Mus musculus: one gene and its partners. The protein of the gene in region 4 binds, or shares a complex with, the protein of the main gene of each other region. Links are inferred from orthologs where the notes say so. Each region holds a gene or a part of one and is shown on either strand. Other genes may lie near its edges.

Region 1 (4,166 bases), on a different chromosome or scaffold from region 4:
CTGCAGAGCTCCAGACATCCTTCCTCATGCCAATTACCTCCAAAACCTTGTTACCGTCTAAAAGCCTAAGGCCGAATCATGTCTCTTCTAAGTGGTTATCATTTAGGTCATTTGTTATGTATGTGTCTAGTTCTGGGAGAGAATACTTAGGTGTCATTCAGATAATCTGTAACTTAAATAATAATAACACAACATACACAAGCCACACTGTCCCTGCAAAGTTCAAGATGGCATTAGAATGGCCAATGAAACATAGCAACTCACCTGTAAAGTGTACAGAACAGGAATTTTCAGAGCAACAGACACTCACACTCCTTAACAGTTCAGTGATTAAGCTACAGAAAAATAAAAACTAGTTTAATCTGTTTCTACAGAATCTGCCACCAGTGCTCTCTCTCCTTTCCAGATGGATGCCCATCACCTAACATGTTAGTTTACTCTAAGGGTGTAAAATTATGCATTTTTTTTTCTTTACACAAAAGAGATCCATAACAAACAGATATATAAAAACTTAAGTTTATTTTCAAGAACTTACTAGTTCTTAAAGGCAATACAGCATAGAAAGTAACAGTCCAGTTTCAAATGTCCGATCTCACTTAGCAGACCTAAGCCAGGACTTACCTAAGTTTAGTGTGTCGGGCACACATTTGGATGGGAATATTAGGCTTATCCTCTACAGTCGTGAATATTTAATGACCACTCAGGGTATTTAATGAAAAAAATATATTTCTATATTTATGATTTTCACAAAAATGAAGGATTCTATTATAAAAATAAAGTGCACGTTTTAAAATTTCCACTTAGAAATTTATTGTAAATAGGACTATCTTTTAACATGTATTATTAGAATATCTTAATATCTCACGATGATGTACTATAAGAAGCATCACGAGGGATAAATACTTCAGTGTAAGCCATTTTTATACATATGGTTTTATATGTATTCATAAACATAAAAAGTATGCATAAGTAAAATGTTTTTCTACCTAGCCAAAAGAAAGGTATACAGGTCTCTGTAAGTCATTACTTATTATTTTAAGTAATTATTTATTACTACAGAAGTCTTTGAATCTTTAGGATAGATCCAGATAACAGAAAGACTTTTGAATATCAGACTTCTGCTATTCAATGCCAGAACCTGCTGTCATACATGTTAAGTAAGTCAAACAACTAAATCTAGAAATCATTTTCCGAGGTTTGAGCATATTTCAGGACAAACCATCAAATCCCACGTTTACCCGGAAAGCCCCGAAATTCTCTGAATTTTTTAATGTAGTCATCCACTACAGGTGAATTTAACTTTAAACAGCAGATTTCAATGGGTGTTTTGTAGCATCAGGTGTTTCTCTGCTGACCTCATTAACGCCAGTGAAACTGGAAACCGTACCATTTGAATTCAATACAATTTGAGTACTGTAGATGCCCATTAGAGGAGGGAAAGAAGAGGTGAGGGTAGGGTGGGGGGAATAAAAGTGGAAAAAGGTCCCAGGAGTAACATTTCCAAATATGAACCGACACTAACTGGCATCTACACCCAGGAAAAGGGGGGAATCCAAGTGCCAACAAGCCAGCGCCTCCCACTGGGCCAGGACAGGACACTCAGCAGAGTTCTGGAAGGCAGGCTTCTCCTGTTAAGACTCCTATTTCCTATGCCTTGGCCACCCACGGTCTTGAGGATGGTAATAGCTTCAAGCCAGGAGCTGTGAGGAGTCATAAGAGGCTATTCGCTGTGACTGTAAACTAGCAATTTTGTTTATTTTTGAAGTATTGGCTCTTTCTGAACCTCCTTGTACTAGCTGAATTTTAATTCGCACGATCCCATACTGTTCCCCTTTCCCTGCGTTGTGGAATCCTTCCAAGTTTTGCCAGGAACGGTTAAATCACTATGACTGAACTGCTTTAAATGGACGTTGTTGTTTGAAAAAAATCCGAACCATAGCAAAGAACGAAGCAAACATCCTTATAAAACCAGATAAAGCTTACTAAGTAATTTCACCACTTAGTCTGAACGGCACAAAATGACCCCTCTCTGTGTGACCGCAAATCTCAGGTCTAGAAAGTAGAAAGATTCTAAATTAAGCCAACAAATCCAATCTTACTTCCCAATTCTTAATTCTCGATGAAGAATGTCCCCTTCTAAAAACTACTACTTTAGAGGAGGTGTGGAAAGTTTTCTCTTTTCCTCTTTCATTCCGAAGAACTGGCATGAAAGTTCTTCAAAACAGGAATGAAGTTCTGCAGAGCGGTCGGTCCTTAAGCGAGTCCAGAGCAGAGCGCGAATTCCTGGGCGCTCGCTCCGGGTGCTCCTTTGTGGCCAGGGCCGCGCGGTGGCCGGTCGGTGGGGCCCCCGCATCCATCCCGGCCCCTCCGGGTCCGGAGTCTCGGCGCAGTGGGGGTGGTGGACCCAGCACCCTCGGGCGGGCCTCGCCCTCCCCATCCCCGCTCACCGCTTTGAGATCCAGGACGCCGTCCTGCGCCTCCTGCAGCAACGACACGAATTTGGTGGTAAGCAAGCCCAGGCTCTTCTCGTGCCGGCTGCTGCCCCCCGCGAGCGCCGCGGACGGCTGCGAGGATGGCGCCCCATGCGGCGGCGGCTGAGCCTGGGCCTGCGGCGTGGGCTGAGCAGAGCTCGTGGGCTCCGCCGCCGCCATCACCGCCGCGGCCCTGCTGTCCTCTGGCGAGGAGCCGCTCCGCCACCGGCAGAGGAGGTGCGCGGACTCCGCTCCCCGCCCACGGCGCGCCCCGCGTCCACCAGTCCCCGGAGCCGCGCGGCTCGCGCACGGCACCACAGAGCGCGCGGATTCACACGAGCGGCCAGCGCCGCGAGGGTGGGCCCGAGTTTAAATGGCAGGAAGTGACGCCGCGCGGCGTTGCCTAGTAACGCACTCTCCGCGGAGGGGCGGGGCAGTCGGGTTCCCTCAGGCGGAGCGTGCTTTTGGTCGGCCTGGAGCGCTCATCCCTGATCAGGTGCAAGTATTGTAAGGCTCATCTTCGCGTAAATAGGAGAACGCCGCGTCCCGGAAGGTTTTGGGACTCTGACCTTCAGTCTTTTCCAAAGCCTTTTCTGCAAACAGAAGCACCTGAGCCTTGACGGTGAAGGAAGTAGACCCCCAGCTCTTTCCTTACCTGCCTTTAGTGTTCTTTACAAAATTATACTCTTTTGCTCCCCAATAATTCTATTATTGAGACAATCGCAGCATCTTTTGACTTATTGACATCGTAAACTATGGCTCGATAGTAAGATCACAGATATAAGAGGAGGAAATGTGCTCCCACATTTTTTATTTGCAAACTTGAGACTCAGGATTAAAATCTTCAACACCTTGGGTGGGTAAGATGGGTCGGGGTAGTGTGGGGAGCAACCTCTCAGAGGCAAAGGGAAGGGGGTATGGGATGAAGAACTTTTGGAGGGGCTACCTGGAAGGGGGGGTAACATTTGGAATGTAAATAAATAAAAGTTTACAAAAAACAAAAAACAAAAACAAAAAAAAACCCAAGATCTTAAACAACTTGGTATTCGCACCTGTTGAATATCCTTCACACTTAACAAGTAGTAGGTGACTAAAAACATCATTTGGCAGGAATTAATGAAGACATATCCTTCATGCAAGAATGCCCAAATTAACAGTAGGGAAAAAAAAAAACAAAAAAACAAAACGCGAGGAGAAACTGACAGCATTAACTAGTAAATCCTGAAAACAATTTTAAACCAAAATTTTTCCAGGCGTCTGGAGCAAAACTTCTGTAGGGGAAGCATTTTCCTTCAGAGCTGCAACACTTAAAATCCCCGTCTGCCCCCCCAATCCACCTGCAGATTCTATTCCACTGACCCTTTCCAGAGAGATACCCTCTTTAGCCTGTCTTGTTACTTAGTCTTTCTGGGTCTGGGGATTGTAGCATTATGTTTACTTTACAGCTAAGATCCACTTATAAGTGAGTATGTACCATGTTCATCTTTCTGAGTTTGGGTTACTTCACTCAGGATGAGGTTTTTGAGTTCCATCAATTTGCCAGTATATTTCATGATGTCATTTTTTTTTTTAAACAACCGAGTAATACTCCATTGTGATAATGTACCACTTATTTTATCTTTAAATCCATTGTTCGATTGAGGGAATGTAGGTTGTTTCCAGTTTCCGGCTATTATGAATAAAGCTGCTGTGAAC
Region 2 (4,138 bases), about 5.9 Mb from region 4:
CTATAAACTCTAGAACTACAGTTTGGGGAAGTCAGTGCCTCAGTTTCTCCATCTGCTATCGGGTAATACAAGCATATAACTCATTGGGTTGTTATGAAGATCAAAGGTTTCTATGAACTGTTTTTGTAGGTGAGGAAGCAGGCATGGAGAAGTTTGATAATTTGAGATAATGGAACTAGGGAAAGGTAGGCTGGGAATCACCCCCGAGGAGATCTCACTGTAAAGCACACTAGCCGTGAAGAGCAGCGATCCACATGAACTCCTTTGAAGGGAGAGGGGTGGGGGGAAGCCTTGAATTAAGCCAGGTGAAAACTTGTAGCTTTCAAGTCTTCATCCTTCTGTAGTAAATGAAGTTTTCGGAGTTGTACTGTCTAAAAGGGGCCAGCAGTTTTTGGAAAGAGATCTGAGGCCTGAGCCTAAAGGGCATTTGGCTGGGGTTCTTCCAGGCTCCTATCCTTTCAGGGAGTCCCAGTAAGATGACACTCAGTTTTTAGGTAGTAAATGACAACCTGAAAGAGACAACCCTTGCCATCAGAAATTGAACGTAAGCCAACAAGCCTTCCCCCTGGGCTTAATACATTTCCTAGGAAAGGCTGCTGGGATCCCAGAATGCTCACAGTTCAGCAGAGGAAATGCGCACAAATGCAAGCAGATGGGCAGGAGACCCCAGTCGGGGAAGATGTGGGGAGTTCCTGGTCCAAATACGGCCCAAGCAAAAGCTGCAAGACTTAATTTCGCCTCTCTGTGTCTTGGCGTGGTGATCTGGAAGGCCGTTACTAAATGGAGTTACAAAGATTTAACCCGGACAGAAGAGAGGTTTAAGTTTGGTGAGAGAAATGTTGGGATTTTGAGCTGGGTCTCTCTGAGGCAGCTGAAGAAGCAAGAGGCTTGCAAAGGAAAAGATACAAACCCAGTCAAAGGGAGCATGGGGGCTCTAGGGATAGTGGCTTGGACCGTCCCAAGCAGTGACAATTTGGGCGGGAAGTTTCTCCTATTCAGTTCTTCCAGTCTTTGCTATGTGTGTGGCTCGGGGTCTATCTAAGATTCACACAGAGCCAGGCCTCGCGCCTCATTGAATCCCTAAGGTAGGTGTATCTGGACACAGTAGATTGCCAACTAACAGAGCATCTGCCCGCTTGCACATTCGGTTTCTGCCCTCCGGTAAACCACTCCCCTCTTCCCCATGCTTGGGCTCCGCCCCTACAGTAGGCCCCTCCTAGGGTTCTGGCGCGCGGGCTCCGCCCCTCGTGTCTTGTACGCTTCGCCCCTTCCGTATGCTCCGCCCCTGCGCTCGCGCGCCAGGGCCGGGCGGCGCCGACGCACTTGGCGGGAGATAGGAAAGTGGTTCTGTGCGCTCCCTAGGCAGCTGCAGTTCCTGGGAACGTGCGACCAGACCTGCAGACACGCTGACGCCTGAGAGCACCGCCTGGGGCCCGGAGCGGCTCGAGCAGCCTGAGTCCTGACCCCGGCCCGGCTCCCGCTCCGGGCTCGGCCGGCGGGCGTAAGGGTGCGGCGGGGTCCGGGCCGGGGGGATGTCTCGGCGGACGCGCTGGTGAGAGGCTGCGGGCGCGCTGGGGTCCTCTCCCTTCTCCTTGGGTCGGCAAGCGTGAGATGGGGATCCCCGGGAGAAATGCACCCTGCGCCGCCCGATGCAGGGGCGCGCGCCACGTTAAGAGGCTATCGGGACCCCCTCGCTCGGTTCCTGGGCCTCCTGGGCCCGGGAGTCTGAAAGCGCGGGTTCCCCCTCTAGACCGGGTCCCAGCCCTGGGTGAGGTCCATCATCTCCCGCCTAATTGCAGGGTGGGGAAGGAAGGCTGTCGCTCGCGGTGTCAGCTGGAGGCCCATTACTGGGTAGGGAGAATGTCTCCCCTTGTCGCAGCGAGTGGAAGGCAGAAGCCTGGGAGACACTTGTCGATCAAGAGTGGCTCGAATTTGCTGGCGTTCCTTTCTTGTTAGCATTCCGGGAAGCACAAAGCCCCTGGGCCCTCCGCGGGATGCGAGACGGGGAATTCGTTGTCTCATGGGGTTTCGGCGGCCGGTTCGGTTTGGTTTCAGAAGCCTTCTTCCTGTCCCACGCTAGTTTTGGGCAGTTGGGGATGAGTAAAGACTATTGGTGTGCAACGAGACTGCTCTGCTAGCAGCCTCTGAGCCAAAGGCAGGAACTGGGTTTCCCTCTTAGTTCCCTAGAGGTTAGGTGGCTGGGTCAAGTCTGGACTTTTGGGACACCTGTGTATCTGGGGCCTAATCGCGGGGCTTTCCAGCCTTTCTAAGGCGTGGGATAATTGGGTTCTGCTGTGTTCCTTCTGGGTCTTTCCAATTCAGAACGCCTTTCCACCGTCTTCAGATGGCCGAACCTGGCCTAGGATGAAGATAAGGCACAGAGATGCCTGCTTGCTTACTTGCAGAGTTCTTCGTGGCTGGGTTGGGTATTGGTTTGGTCTGTGGGTGCTGATCAGGGTGGCTTCCCATGCCCCGGTGTCTAGGACAGTTCAGTGCCCAGGAAGGGCATCTGGAAGTACTAATCCCAGAGCCCCGGGCTTATCTGAGGGTCTCTTTTGTGAAGTGTGGACTCTGTGCCCCTGCATCCTCACGAGCCTTTCTCTGCCACATGGTGTGACTCCCTGTACCCCAGTGGCCCACTTCCCTCTTGGCCTCTGACTCACCTTTCCCTGGAGCATAGCCCAGAACGTACAAGGGCAAGAGAAAGGGTATGTGTATATACAAAAGTGTGACTTTTCTTTAAACAGCACACTGGCCTCTGCTTTTCATGCTACGGTTCCTAGGGAGGTTAGGGTGTAAAAATGTGGAGCTTGGTGTGACATAATCGTTGTCGGCCTCACTTTTCCCGTCTGTTAAATGGAGCCCTTGAGAATGCGCAAGAAGGTGTGTGACTGATGGATACTCCCATCTGTTTAATAGTGTGACCATGCCGGGTAGCAGCAACACATGTCTTTAATCACAGCACTCAGGCAGGTGAATCTCTTCAGTATACAGGACAGCATGGTTTGCAGAGTGAGTTCCAGGGCAGCCAAGGCAACATAGAGATACCTATCTCAAAGGACCCCCGCCCTCCAAATACTGTCACTATTACACAGCACTGAGGCTTCAGGCTCTCTTACACAGAGCCTTTTCCCTAGGACACCGGCTGAGCTTCTAATAGAATCTGGGCCTCGTGCTGGGTTTTGGAGAAGCAAACTCAACTGATAATGTTTAGTAGATTTTGCCTCCTGCTTTACAATGGTAGGTGGGGCGTGCATTGGGTCAGCACTGACAATACAAATCTGCTTTCTGGATTCTGTGACGCGTATTGCTAGGCTTAGGAACTTCTTTTCGTTTTCGTCGGGATTTTTTTTTAGAATTGTTTCGTAGGCAGCATCTTTGCAAGTATCCATTCATTCACAAATCCACTCCTTCCCTGGGCAAATATTTCTTTAGGCCTTTTCTGTGCCAAATTCCAGGATGTGAAGTTGGAGCTGACCTTTGTGGGTGAAGTCAAGAGCAGAGGTTGGGGCTGAGGGCTGGACCTGGCTTTCCAGAGTGCTTGTATGTGTGTAGGAGTGACAGGGAGGGAGGCTGTGCTGAGTGTGAGGGAAGACAGGGAGGGCTGTGCAGACACCAACGCTGCACACTTGTGGGCACAAAGTGTGGCTCGTCTTGCTCGTTTGGAAATCTCTACTCTTCCCAGTTACATATGACTGACTAACCTTTCGTATTTGCTCGAGGTGACCGAGTGCAGGTCCCGGGGAAGGATTAACCAAGTTCTGTGAAAAACTGGTTGTTTGCCTTTCTCCCTTAGTTATGTATCTGTGGGTGGTTTTGTGCACTTGCGTGTAGGTGCCCACAGAGGCCAGAGTGGCTGGACCCTTCTGGAGCTGGGAGGTTGTGGGAAGGGTGCTGGAGGCTGAATTTAGGTCCTCATCAAGGGCAGTATGTTCCTTAGTGGAGCCAGCTCTCCAGTCCCTAACTAGCATTCATAGTGTGATCTCCTTCCTCAAACCATCAAACTAGGCAATAGGATTTTGATAGCAGGTAAAATATTCCATGTTAGCCAGGTGATAGTGGTGCGTGCCTTTAAACCCAGCAGGGAGGCAGAGACAGGCCGATCTCTGAGTCTACGATTGAGTTCCAGGATAGCTAC
Region 3 (4,266 bases), on a different chromosome or scaffold from region 4:
CACAACTCTAGAAAAACAAACAAAAATCCTCAACTGTTTACTCAACCATTTTCTAGTTTTGTGCATCACCAAAACTAAGCAGATTTTAAAAAGATAGACATGACTTAGTAAAACTACCAAAATACACTTCACAATCTTAACAAATTTTGAAAAAACAAAAACAACAAATATTAACTAGTTGATATGGCGTTAGTTCAGACGTACTCAACTGTGCAATTTACTGGGGTTAACATTTCACATTTTAATTTAGGGCATAAGCTGTTGCCCAATTGTTAAGTTTTGTGTCATTTAACAAGACAATGTGCTGACGACAGAATCCATGTCTATCTGGTCCAGAAAACCCTTTCATCTAAGAAACTGTCGTTCCTTCCTGAAGCATTAATACTTTCTTCGAAAAAATAGTATAGTATTCGCCTCATGCAGTGACAAGAGTCGCTTGTCTAAGGTCATAGTGGCAGCAGCGTCTGTCCTGGCAGGCACATTCCTCAGCATTCCGAAAGCCGGGGCTTCCACGTTTCCTCCAAGCTTCACAGTTGGAGGAAATAACTCTTCTTCCCCACGCAAGACGTTTCTAGAAACCACACCTCCTCCGTCTTTTACCAAGGTGGCTGCCACCTTGGGCCCCTGGTGTCTGCAGACCGCAACCCAGCTTCCGAAATGCAATGTCAAAGGGAGACAGAGCTATGCCGGGAGGAAGGGGGGGGGGTGTCAGTAAAATCCCGCCATCCCGAGTGAAGGGGCGCAAAGGGCCGCTTACTCACCTACACGTGCGCCCCCGACCTCGCCCCCTTCCTCCACGCCCCCCCAGCCACGCTCCGCCGCCGGCGGACAGCGGCTCCCATGGCCGCCCTCGCTTCCGGTGCTCCCAGCGCTGCGCCACCCCCGAGGCCACCCGACACCGGGAGCCTCCGACAGACCTCTCGGACGACTCCGTGACTCCTCCACCCTTCGCTAGGCGTTGTCCTGGAGGGAAGGGTAAGCCGGTGCCACACTGAAATAAACCTACCCGAGAGAGTCCGCGTCCTTCCCTCCAGACACAGAAAATGGGATAGAGCTGCGGGCTGCTGCTGCCGGGACAAAATGGCGCCGGGGAACCGGTTAGGCGCAGGCGCCTGGGGAAGAGCCGGCTCCGCCCCCGTGAAAAACCCTGGCTGCAGTTCTGGATTCCGTTTCCATGGGACACGCCACCGCCCAATCCTCGTGCGGAACTGCTCTTCCTGACCCCTTGTTCTCCAATCAGTGTTCAGTCAAGCACATCCGGAGTCGGCTCCTCCAATCAAATTTTTGGGCTCTCTTACTCAATCCTCTATCCTCCAATAACGTGCGTGTTCGGATACAGCCAATCAGAAGTGGAAGCTATCCTACCTGCTGTTTTCCGCACCAATCATGGAAGTTTCCCAGCTACATCCAATGAGAAAGGCAGACAGCGAGCTCCAATCCGAAGCTATTCGGCGTCATGAGCAGCCAATAGGAGTTCGTGTAGAAGCGAGTCTGCTCAACAGCTTGTTATTTGGTGGATTGTGGCAGTAAATCGGGGCGAGTGGGGGAACCCGGCGCAGGAACTGCCGCTGCGGCCGGGAGCGGTGCTGCCCGGACGGGGACCCACGGCGATCAGTGGGGCGGCAGACTGGAGAGCTGACAGCGCTCTGCACCCGCAGTAGGTAGGTAGTCAGCGGGGGCCGCTGAATGGGCAAAGCGGCGGGAGCAGCTGCTGCCGCGATGGGGTCCCGGTGCAGTTGGGAGCTCCGCAGGCTGAGAGGGGGATGCAGGGCGGGCTGTGCCCGGGGCGCCGGGCAGCGATCGGGTCCTGGAGTCGCGGCGGCAACTGCGGGCACGACCGCCTCCGCCGCCTCCCCGGGAAAATGGCTGTGGGGCTGGCCGCGCCGCTAAGTTTGCTTTGGAGGAGCGGGCTGCCGGGAGAACCGGCCCCCAACTCTGCTGTGCTTCTTTGGCGAGGACCCGCTGCTGGACCGCGGAGATCGGGGTGCCCGCGCCTCTCCGGGCTGTACAAAAAGTTGAGGCGGGCGCGGGAGGAGACGGCCGCTGCGGCGGTGCGGCTCGCTCCCCTCCCACACCCTGTCCTGCCGCCTCCCCGCCCCGCGCCTCCCCCGCCGGGTCCCCCCGCGCCGGCCGCCGCCGCAGGCCGCCGCCCCTGCCCCCCGGGTGAAGGAGCGCTTCTCCTTCCTGACATGGTGCAGAGCGGAGGCAGGAGAGCAATGGCGCCGTGACACTCCGTTGCCGCCGCCGCGGGCCGGGCCGGGGCGGGCCAAGGGGGCCGAGCGGCGGAGGCGGGGCGCGCGCTAGAGTCGGGGCCCGGCGGGGCGCGGACCCGGGAGGCCGGGGCGCAGGGGGCTGCGAGTGGCCGACGAGGCGGGGGCGCGGTGGGCCGGCCGGCCGGGCAGGGGCGGGACGCGCTGCCCTTTGGCGCGCGTGGGGCTCACTGCCCGCCAGGCTTTGGCTGCCCGACGGGGGTCTGTCCCGGGGGCCGCGGAGCTCGGCCCCTCCCCGCCTGCATTTGTTTACTTTCTTTCCGGGTCTCACCCCGCCTTGGACTGATCCTCTGCCTCTCTTTTCCCTGCTTTGGCTCTAGCGCCCGGGAAGAGAACTCGAGGAAGCTGGAACCCCACAGGTCACCAGTCAAGATGAAGGTAAGTGGAGCCAACTCTTCTTCTTAGCCTTGTGCCCCGGACGCTGCCAGTCCGGAGGCTGCAGTTGTGGAATGGCAGCTTTTTGTTACTTAGAATTGATTTCTTTACTAAGAAGCACTTTAAGGAAAATGACATGTGAATGGGTGAGGGGTGTGTGTGTGTGTGTGTGCGTGTTCGAATGTGTGTGTGTGTGTGTGTGTATAAATGCAGGCGGTCCAACACTCTCTAGCAGTTAGCACTTTGAGAAGATCGGTGCAGTCTTTCGATTTTCAAACACTTCAGTGTCAAAAACACCTTTCAAGAAGAAAAGCTTTTGTCCTGCTTTGGTTTTTGCAAGGTTTTTTTGTTTTGCTTTGCTTTTGCTTTCTTTAAAACCTATACTTCCCCCTTTCCACTACCAATGCCATTTTCTAAAAGACATGTTATGTAGCTTGAGTAAGAGAGATAGTTCTGTATATTTTTGGGGAAAGAAAGTAAACTAAGGTGATGACAATATTTAGATTGATTAGTTCAGTCTTCATAATATATATCTTAAAACGTGGATTCTATGTGTAGCTTTTGAAGCTTCCTAATCTTACAAACATCAGTGGCAGCCTGCTTGAAGGGAAAGAAAGCTTTCATAACATTCCTCAGAATTCGGTAGGATACTGTGGCTCTTGTTTGTTTCTGGTCAGATACTTACCAAAAAGTATTCCTCTTCATTTTTTATTCTTTTTAAGTAGACTGACATTTAAACGTGCATGATTAACGTTGTACTTAGTGTTCGGTGTGTGTGTGCGTGTGTGTAAATAGAAAATATATAGTTGTTTTTGTTTCGGTTATTTTGAAACAGTATACTTTACCCGGGCTAGCCTGGAACTCACGATGTAGACTCTCAAGGCTGACCTTGAACTCCCTTGACGTCCTCCTGCGTCTGCCCAAGTGCTGGCAGGATGAGCATGCTATACCATTGCCTGACTCGGTTTAAGTATATTACTTTCTGAAATTCTCAAACTTCCTCTTATATATTTTTTTTTATTTTGGAGTGACACAACTTCCTTTAATATAACTTGGGAAAATGAAAATTTGTTTCCTACTTAAAATATTTAAAGTTAACATTGATATCTTTGTACATATAATGTTGAATTGGTTGCATGATACATACAGCTTTTGAATTAGGTAACATCACAGACTGAAATAGCAGTTGTCTGTTACTCTCAAGATTAAAATGATGTATAAATGGAAGTTTCTTACATATTTCAATGTATAATTCTGATCATGACTATTTCCTGTAAATGGGTGTTTTCTTTCTTTTCTTTCTTTCTTTCTTTCTTTCTTTCTTTCTTTTTTTAATTGTTTTGTTTTCCATGATATCTCTATGTAACAGAGAACATGCTGGCATAGAATTTAAAGAGATCTTGTTGCCTCTGCCTCCACCTCCTACCATGCCCAGCTACTAATGTCTAAATAAAAATTATTTTAAGTATACTGAGATCAAAGCTGTAAACTAGAAAAGGCTGCAGCCTTTAGCTATCAGTTTTCATCTGTTGAACTTAGATTTAAACCTTTCATTTGCAACCTTCAGCCAAAGCAATTTTGGAAAGAGGTTTCTTAGTTTCTTGTGTCTAGAGATACATTG
Region 4 (3,500 bases):
CTGCCTAGCTAACATGTATATATATATATATATATATACACACCATACACACACACACACACACACACACACTTAATTTTAAAACAGTGACACTACTCCGAGAACAGAAAGTAACGTTTGGGCACTAAGGACATAATGGTGGTGTGCTCACTCAGCCTGAGTAAATCCCCAATTCAATATCTAGGACCATACCAATATCTAGGTATTTTTGGTTTTAATGGTCCTAGATACTGAATTGGGGATTTACTCAGGCTAAGTGAGCACATCACCATTATGCTACACAGCCCTAAAGACAAATTTTCAAAATACTTCAAAGTTAGTCTATGGCAATATTTTTCAAAAGTTAAAAAATATTTTTATTACTTCTTTAAGAACTGCATCAACGTTATTTTGACTTTATTTATCCCCTCCTAATTTCTCCCAAACCTACCCACCTCCCTCCACTTGACCCCAATTGTGCTGCTCAGATACTTGGGCATACCAGCAGGGTCACCCACCGGAGTGTGGTTAACCTACCATGAACCATACCTTTAAAAACATAGACTCTCCCTCCCCTGAAGCTGTGAGCTTCCATGTGGGTGCTGGGAATTGAACCTGGGTCTTCTGCACGAGCAGTAAGTGCTCCTACCTTCAGAGCCATCTCTCTAGCCCCAGACCTGGGGTATCTGACCATGGGTCCTAGAATGCTGAGACGGTTCTTTACTTTCAGGCTGCTCCTGGCCCTTAAACATTTAATTATTAGTACCTTCTTATCAAAGAGCTTTGAAATATATGGCTTAAAGTAATGCTCCTTTATCCCTTTTGCTTCTACTAGAAGTCCGTCATGCAGATCACAAAGTACAGCAATGATGCACGGAGGCTCTTCTGCGGCTTTGAAGTCCGGAGCATGGAAATCAGATGGTAAGCCTAGTTAGACAAAGCATGAAGGGAACAGGAGGGACAGAACAGTCAATTTTTATACTTTTTCTAAAAGTTAATAATTACTTTTCAAAAATAAACATCTTACCTTTAAATGATGGATTTAACAAGTCTCGTCTATTTGGGCACATTATAGCATTGGCAAAGATCAGGTCCAAGCAGCACAGAAGTAAATGATAGGAGTTTACTAAATCATCACCAATCATACGGAAATTCCCTTCATAAGGAAAAAAAGTTAAGATCCAGAACCCGCTCATGTCAACCATCACCAAATCCCAGGGTAGAAAGCGGGGAGAGTGTAACTTACCCTTGGTGTAAACAAAGAGTGTCCAGCAGAAGTTAAAGAGGTCCTTAACACTGCAGGGGATCCTCCTGAAGGGAGAGATGCTTTGGTTTTGTTTATTGTTTTATTTGGCCAGGCTAACCTGCTAAGCATGGAGAGCAAACATAAACGAAAGGGTCAAATCGCATGTACAATTCCACTCGGGACGCCATACGGACGGCTCAGCACACTCCACGGAGTGTTGCAAGATGCACGCAACAATCAGATTAGAAAAACATAACTAAAGTATCACCCTTATTTTGAAATATAAGTGATTGTAAGAAATTTAAGTCTCTGCCGAAGGTAAATACGGACTTTTAAAATTAAAGTCTCCTAATGACCCTGCATCACAGATCTAGGAGAATCAAGGGTCTTCTTACCTCTGTTTTCGGCTCCGGGGCAACTTTGGTGGCTCTTCATATGGATTTTGAAAGATATCTAAAAAAATGGGCTCAAATTTTTTAAAAATTACAGTAGATACTTCAAAATTTCTTTCTAGCCTTTCTATCCGCTCACGAAACTCTTGTGGTAGGTTTGACATGTCCATCCATTTCTTCATTTTACTAAAAAACTGTATTAAGCTTTAAAAAAAGAAAGAAAAGGTAATTTAAAAATTAGTCCACATAATGAACTGAAAATGACACAGTCACTTCATGATTAAAAATCTTTGCTTTCAGGCTGGAGAGATGGCTCAGAGGTTAAGAGCACTGACTGCTTTTCCAGAGGTCCTGAGTTCAATTCCCAGCAACCACATGGTGGCTCACAACCACCTGTAATGGGATCTGATGCCCTCTTCTGGTGTGTCTGAAGACAGCTACAGTGTACTCATATACATAGAATAAATAAATCTTAAAAAAAAAAGTCTTTGTTTTCAAAACCTAAACTAAAACAACATAAGCCCTCACTCCAGCCTAAACTTCCACTCCCAGTACTACTAACCACACTGGTTCCAGGAGCATCTCGGGGACTGAGAAAAGCGAAGTGACAGTGGTCCTCTAGGATACGGGCAATAAAAGCACCTACCTGATTCTTTCATCCTCTACAGGAAGCCAATGCTCTAGATGTAGTCTATGAAGTCAACGTCAGTCAACAGTGTAGAGGCTCACAAAGTCAGTGTGAAGGAAAAAGAAGTCTCCCAAATGTAAAGTTGTTCACAAAGCACCAGACTACTACAGGCGGGGTCCTGTTCAAGTGTTTGCATTCTTTTTCTTTGTTTGAGATAGTTTCTCTGTGTAGTTGATTTCCATTCCTTAATTTTATTTCTTGTCACTACTAAGCATTCCGTGGGTCTTAGTTCTACCCTCTCCTCGTTCCTTGGCCAACTGCACAGGACTATTGACCTGGGCAGGCAACAAGGAACGGCACTAATCCAGATTCAGGTACATGCTGGTGTGCACCTCTGGGGTGGGGGAGGGGAGTCACTGATAAGTCTATTTGAGGTCATGTCTCCTTCCTAACCCTGAGCATCCGCGTAGAAGGAAGCAGTTATTAAAGCCCCATTCTGGAATGGGGAGTGGTACGTGTAGTGTCAGTTTACATCAATTAAAACAACAACAACAACAATTTTAGGTTTGTGGAAAATGAATAAAGTCAAGACGGTTAAAGGCTCTTCACTAGATCTCAATTGTCATGGGTAAAAATGAAGATTCATGCTACAGTAACATTAAGCGAAACCTAGCCACTGTTGTAGAAACAATCTTTTTCTCATCACTGGCCACATAATTTTTTAAATCTTTATTATAAACTGGTTGTTATTACCATGGTGGCTCATGCCTATAATCCCAATAATGTCATAAGAGACAGAAATTATAGAAATATTCCTTATTAAAGGGGCATAAGAGAAAAAAGTTTGTGTTAAGTTCCCGATTAAGAAATACCACAGAAACAGGCCATGCTGACACACATTTATAACCGTACAAGCTGGAAGAATGAAGCAGGAGCCAGTTTTGATAGTAGCCTGGATCTGGGCTATAAACTGAGATCCACTCTCAAAAATAAGATAATAACTAATTAATTAAAATATCACTGAAAGCAACTTCAAGATGAAAGGCTATAATGAATACAGCATATTTTGAAATGATTACATAACAAACACTGAGAGAGAGAGAGACTTGATGATGAACGACAAAGTGATGGAGTAAGTAGGAAGGATGCAACGGGAGTGGCAGTGAGACTGGACCACAGCTGTTCCCCAAAAGCTTTAAACTGTTTCCCTTAAGAAAAAACCAGGGAGTAAAGACAGAGCTACAATGTCGGTAAC
Region 5 (4,219 bases), on a different chromosome or scaffold from region 4:
AATGTGTTCAGAAGGCTCAGGGGGGGTTAGATTCTCTCAGAAGGCTAGGTTACTTTGTTACAACGTTTTACTTCCCGCCCACCTCCTCCCCCACTTACCCTGGGCCCAGAAGGGCCAGCACCCATGTGCTTCTCTTGCTCGCACTAGTCTTTCCCCTCACCTCTCGAAAGGTGGATTTTCCATCCTGCCCCTCCCTCCACCCCAGATTCAGCGGTACTCCCTACTGTCTATAAACTGGAGGCTGTAGCAGCAAACAGCTGGCTGCAAGGAGCCATTATAAGTTCTTTCCACTCATTAAGCAAGAGTGGAATTTTTGCCTGCATTTTACTGAGGAGAAGTTGAAGCACAAGTATTAAGCTTGCCTGGGACTGATACAAGTAGCAGCCCAAGTTGCACCCTTAACTTTCACAGCCTGCTGCCCTTTTCCTGAGCCTGAAGTCTTCCACTCTATTGCTCGCCCAAGAGTCTCATCTTGTCTTTCTCCAACCTGTGCCTCACATTCTTGAATGTGTTCTAGAAAAGAAATGAAAGCCTGCCCTTCGTACTACTTAAGACCTCGCTTTATTCTTTTTACCAAGCCCAACTTAGCCTGGGCTGGCCTGTCTAGATCTGCTCTCACCTCACTGAACCATCTTTAAACTTTTTAGTTTGTGGAAGTCACTCATCCACTCGTTTTTGTTTTGTTTTAAATTCTCCATTCGCCGACTACCCCCTCCTCATAAATCCCTGGAGAATAGACCCACCCCGGAGATCAACCACGCTTGTAAAAATAGTAGTTGAAAAGCCACCGTGGTTTAAATACTAGAAAGTGTTACAGATGGGAACCGTGAAATCTTTCCCGGCTTCTTTCAGCAAGGGAGGAATCCCCATCCAGTTTCATTACACTTGGCTAGTGTCACTTGTGTCTTCCCCAAGCATCCTTAGTCACTGTGAGGCTCCCAGCTCACTACCGGTCTCGGGTGGAGCGCATTAGAGAAAGAAAGCAGGACAGTTCACTAGCCCTCGGCCTACACCAACTTGGTGACCTCTCAAGGTCTCGTCCCGGCCGCTCGCAGCTCAGGTTCCGGCCCGGGCCGCCCGGACCCCGCGTCCGTGACCTGCAGGCGAAGCGGACGCCGCGGCCCGGGCACTCGGTGGGGGGGAAGGGCAGGGGCCGGGGCGCCGGAGAAACGCGATCTGGGGAGCCGAGTCCACGTTACTTTGGGCAGAGCCCCCTCCGTGCCAAGCGACCAGGAACCCAGGTCTCGTCCGCCGCGCCACCGGCCCGGGCCTGCGTCCCGCTCCCCTCGGGAACCGGCCTGCAGTTCCCGCAGCCGCAGCGCGGGCCGCGCGCCGGGAGCGAGCGCAGGCGAGGGGGGCGGCGCGGGCGGGCGCATCGGTGCTGGCGCCGCGCCCCCCGCGCTCGGCCCTACCGGGCCTCTCGGCGAGGCGTCCCCTGTCCTCCTCCGGGCCCGGCCCGGGGTGCGGGCGAGGCCCCGAGGCCCCCTCCCGCCGGGCTCGGGCGGAGCCGGACGGCCTGGCGGGAGCAGGCGCCGCGGGCCGCGAGCTCCTCATTCGAACCTCCCTCGCAGACAGTCTCCGCCCCACAATGCACCGGGGCGGGCAGCCTTTGAAAAAGCGGCGCGGCTCGTTCAAGATGGCGGAGCTCGACCAGTTGCCTGACGAGAGTAAGTAGCGTCTCAGAGCAGCCCTCCTTCCCGCCGGTTGCCCGTCCCGGGGTCGCACCGGCCGAGTCCGGTTGCCGGGCAGGTGGGATGGCCGCCAGCCCACCGCAGTCCCCGGCCTTCCTCCTCAGGCGCTGCCGCCGCGTCGCCGCCTTTGTTATGGTGTCTTGTGTGTCTGTTTCTGGGGTTGTGCGAGCGCCAGCGCCGGAAACCGAAAGCCCGGGAGTCCAGCCTGTCCTGACGGAGTCGGCGGCTGCTCTCCCGGAGCGACTGCTGTCGCCGGCCGGGGTGGGCGAAGAGCGGCCCCCCAGTTGCGGGCGCCGTCCTCCTCGCCCGCCCGGTTATGTAACTCGCCGGCCGGGGGCCGGGAGGGCTCGGGCTGGGCACCGGGGACACAGCCCCTCTTGGTGCCCCGGGCCTCCGATCTGATCCTCTGACGGCTCCTGCTTCTGCAGGCACTTGTGATCGCTCCCCCCGACCCCCCGCGTCCATCCTGGAAGTGTTTTCTTCCGTGTCACACAGGCTTGGCCCCTTCCCCTGGGACTACAGGTGGCCCTGGACCTTTCCGGAGATGATCCAGCCGGGATACAGTGCCGAGGTAGCCCCATTCCCAGTCTCCCTCCTGAGTGGATGTGTCTCTAGACTGTGGGGTGGGCATTACACACGGATGTGAGCACCGCAGCCCATATAAGTATGTTATTCTGCCTGACACCCACCCCTGTTCACTGCCTCACTTCTCCTTCTATACTCACAACCTCTGAGACGGATGTTCACCTGTCCGCAGACAGTAAAGCCAGCTACTCTGCGACCTAAGGACAAGGGAACAATTTTGTAATTTTCATATTGCACACATTATTAAAAGGCATTTTAGTTACAAAATGGTCTTGAAGCAACACGTACTCTGTGGTGTGTATTTGTAGCCCTTGGTCAACGAAAGGTTCGCAGGTGTGGTGGCGCACATCTTTAATCTCAGCACTCGGTAGGAAGAGGCAGGTGGATCTCCGAGTTCGAGGCCCACCCAGTCTACATACCAAGCTCCAGGACAGCCAAGGCTACACAGAGAAATCCTGTCTTGGAAAACAAACAAACAAACAAACCTCCAAACTGAGCAATCTGTATTTAGAACGATTGTATCATTTTTATGACAAATAAAGTAGTGGTTTTGTTTTTTAACCATTTGGTGTGCCCCAACAGGAAGTCAGGTCAGAGAAACCCGTTTCAAAAGCAAAGAAAAAACTCGAACTCTGTAAGATGTATCTGTGGGCAACGCAAATATGCCTTTAAAAGAGAGATAACTCTTAATTCTGTTTTCTTTGATATCGTGTATTTCTTATATTGTTAAGTCAGAAGTTCAGGTTGCCAGTATTCAGAATGTTTGTGTTTTAATTTTGATTTAGACCAGTGCTAAGTCTCAAAAGAACGTTCTCGATGGTGGATGGAGATGTCACTTTTCTAGTGTGCAGTGAGCAACCGGTAGTCACCTGTGACTAGATGGCTCAGGTGCTGCTCTTTTATTTCTATTTAATCTTGACTTATATTTAAATAGCTAGTGATTACTGTATTGATAAGGCATTATCTATAGAATATCCCTAAGTTTATCGTTCTTGTTTGGAGAATATGGTTGATTGATATTTACGATGCTTGAAAATATAGATAATTCAAGTAAGTAGAATGTTACCTGCCATCTGAAGAGATTTTTTTTCTTAAGCTGGGCACCGTGACGTGTGTTAACCTAACACATGTGAGCTAAGACAAAAGGCTAACTCTTAAGTTGGAGGCCAGCCTGGGCTGTACTGTAAAATGTTTCATCATCTGTAATGGGTACGCTCTGTGACTTCTCAGGGCTGTCTCACCTGCAGTCACACGGTTGTTGGTCAGCAGCCCACCAGAGCTGAGCCACTTAGGCTTTTCCTCATGCCTGTGGTGATGGTTAATTTTGATAGCTTGATTGCATTGAGAAATACCTAGGAGATCAGCAAAGCACACCTCTAGATGTGTCTGTGAGCATACCTTTAGGAGAAGGATTTTCTTACTTGTTCTTTGTACAAACTTAGGGTTTACATTGAGGTTCAGATATTAGCTACACTGTTACACTATGTATAACCTAATTGTTGATACTACCATGCAATGTCTCTGGGACTTGGGGAAGGGTGTGTGTGTGTCTTTTTTTAGCTAAACTACCGGTTTGTCAAAAGCAAGAATTGTAATTTTGATTTGTTAGCAATGACACAAATAGACTTAAAAATTTGACTAAAATGGAACTGAATTTGGAGTAATATTACTAATAAGATGGAGCATGATCTTGGAAAGAGAAAGTAATTTCAGTGTGATTTGAAAAAACACTAATTTTTTTGTATTTTTCCCCCCAGTTTAGTTAAGGGAGCTATGTAGTATATTAGCTAATAGCTCCTGTAACATCAATTATAAAAGTTATCATTTCCTGAGTATTTACTGTAACTAGGTGTATAAAAAAAGAAATACACATGCATGTACTCACGCACGCCTGCACTCACTCACGCACAGTCCCGTTTGCTTTCCGTACATTTGATCTTCAT

What was found.
Region 1: the proteins of Rbl1 (region 4) and E2f5 are in contact, whole or in part, in a crystal structure (PDB 5TUV), measured with the Homo sapiens proteins. The link is inferred for Mus musculus from reciprocal best matches to the Homo sapiens genes RBL1 and E2F5. Residues at the interface, in NP_002886.2 of Homo sapiens: Ser1000, Ala1001, Leu1002, Leu1003, Tyr1004, Lys1005, Phe1006, Asn1007, Ile1017, Met1020, Ile1021, Gly1024, Glu1025; in NP_001942.2 of Homo sapiens: Met162, Ile190, Ala192, Pro193, Ser194, Gly195, Thr196, Gln197, Leu198, Glu199, Val200, Pro201, Ile202, Pro203, Glu204, Met205, Tyr213, Leu217.
Region 2: Rbl1 (region 4) and Mybl2 share a complex: the UniProt entries of both Homo sapiens proteins name them as parts of the DREAM complex. The link is inferred for Mus musculus from reciprocal best matches to the Homo sapiens genes RBL1 and MYBL2.
Region 3: the proteins of Rbl1 (region 4) and Arid4a are in contact, whole or in part, in a crystal structure (PDB 7SMC), measured with the Homo sapiens proteins. The link is inferred for Mus musculus from reciprocal best matches to the Homo sapiens genes RBL1 and ARID4A. Residues at the interface, in NP_002886.2 of Homo sapiens: Tyr849, Ile850, Lys853, Val854, Thr860, Phe861, Gln862, Met865, Lys866, Arg869, Tyr879, Arg880, Asp929, Leu930, Ile931, Tyr934, Asn935, Val939, Ala946, Leu947; in NP_002883.3 of Homo sapiens: Leu957, Val958, Cys959, His960, Glu961, Val962, Asp963, Leu964, Asp965, Asp966, Leu967.
Region 5: Rbl1 (region 4) and Lin9 share a complex: the UniProt entries of both Homo sapiens proteins name them as parts of the DREAM complex. The link is inferred for Mus musculus from reciprocal best matches to the Homo sapiens genes RBL1 and LIN9.

What each region holds. Positions count from the first base shown.
Region 1 is NC_000069.6:14,577,305-14,581,470, reverse strand, and holds the start of E2f5 (transcription factor E2F5), read right to left. Parts: upstream 2,801-4,166; 5' UTR 2,652-2,800; coding exon 2,448-2,651; intron 336-2,447; exon of another isoform or gene 265-335; intron 1-264.
Region 2 is NC_000068.7:163,053,297-163,057,434, forward strand, and holds the start of Mybl2 (myb-related protein B), read left to right. Parts: upstream 1-1,338; 5' UTR 1,339-1,532; coding exon 1,533-1,552; intron 1,553-4,138. UniProt on the Homo sapiens protein: Transcription factor involved in the regulation of cell survival, proliferation, and differentiation. Transactivates the expression of the CLU gene.
Region 3 is NC_000078.6:71,014,501-71,018,766, forward strand, and holds the start of Arid4a (AT-rich interactive domain-containing protein 4A), read left to right. Parts: upstream 1-1,466; 5' UTR 1,467-1,661; intron 1,662-2,369; exon of another isoform or gene 2,370-2,590; 5' UTR 2,591-2,642; coding exon 2,643-2,648; intron 2,649-4,266.
Region 4 is NC_000068.7:157,194,535-157,198,034, forward strand, and holds part of Rbl1 (retinoblastoma-like protein 1), read right to left. Parts: intron 1,822-3,500; coding exon 1,621-1,821; intron 1,291-1,620; coding exon 1,226-1,290; intron 1,136-1,225; coding exon 1,007-1,135; intron 907-1,006; coding exon 746-906; intron 1-745. UniProt on the Homo sapiens protein: Key regulator of entry into cell division. Directly involved in heterochromatin formation by maintaining overall chromatin structure and, in particular, that of constitutive heterochromatin by stabilizing histone methylation.
Region 5 is NC_000067.6:180,639,731-180,643,949, forward strand, and holds the start of Lin9 (protein lin-9 homolog), read left to right. Parts: upstream 1-1,419; 5' UTR 1,420-1,588; coding exon 1,589-1,667; intron 1,668-2,119; exon of another isoform or gene 2,120-2,262; intron 2,263-4,219. UniProt on the Homo sapiens protein: Acts as a tumor suppressor. Inhibits DNA synthesis. Its ability to inhibit oncogenic transformation is mediated through its association with RB1. Plays a role in the expression of genes required for the G1/S transition.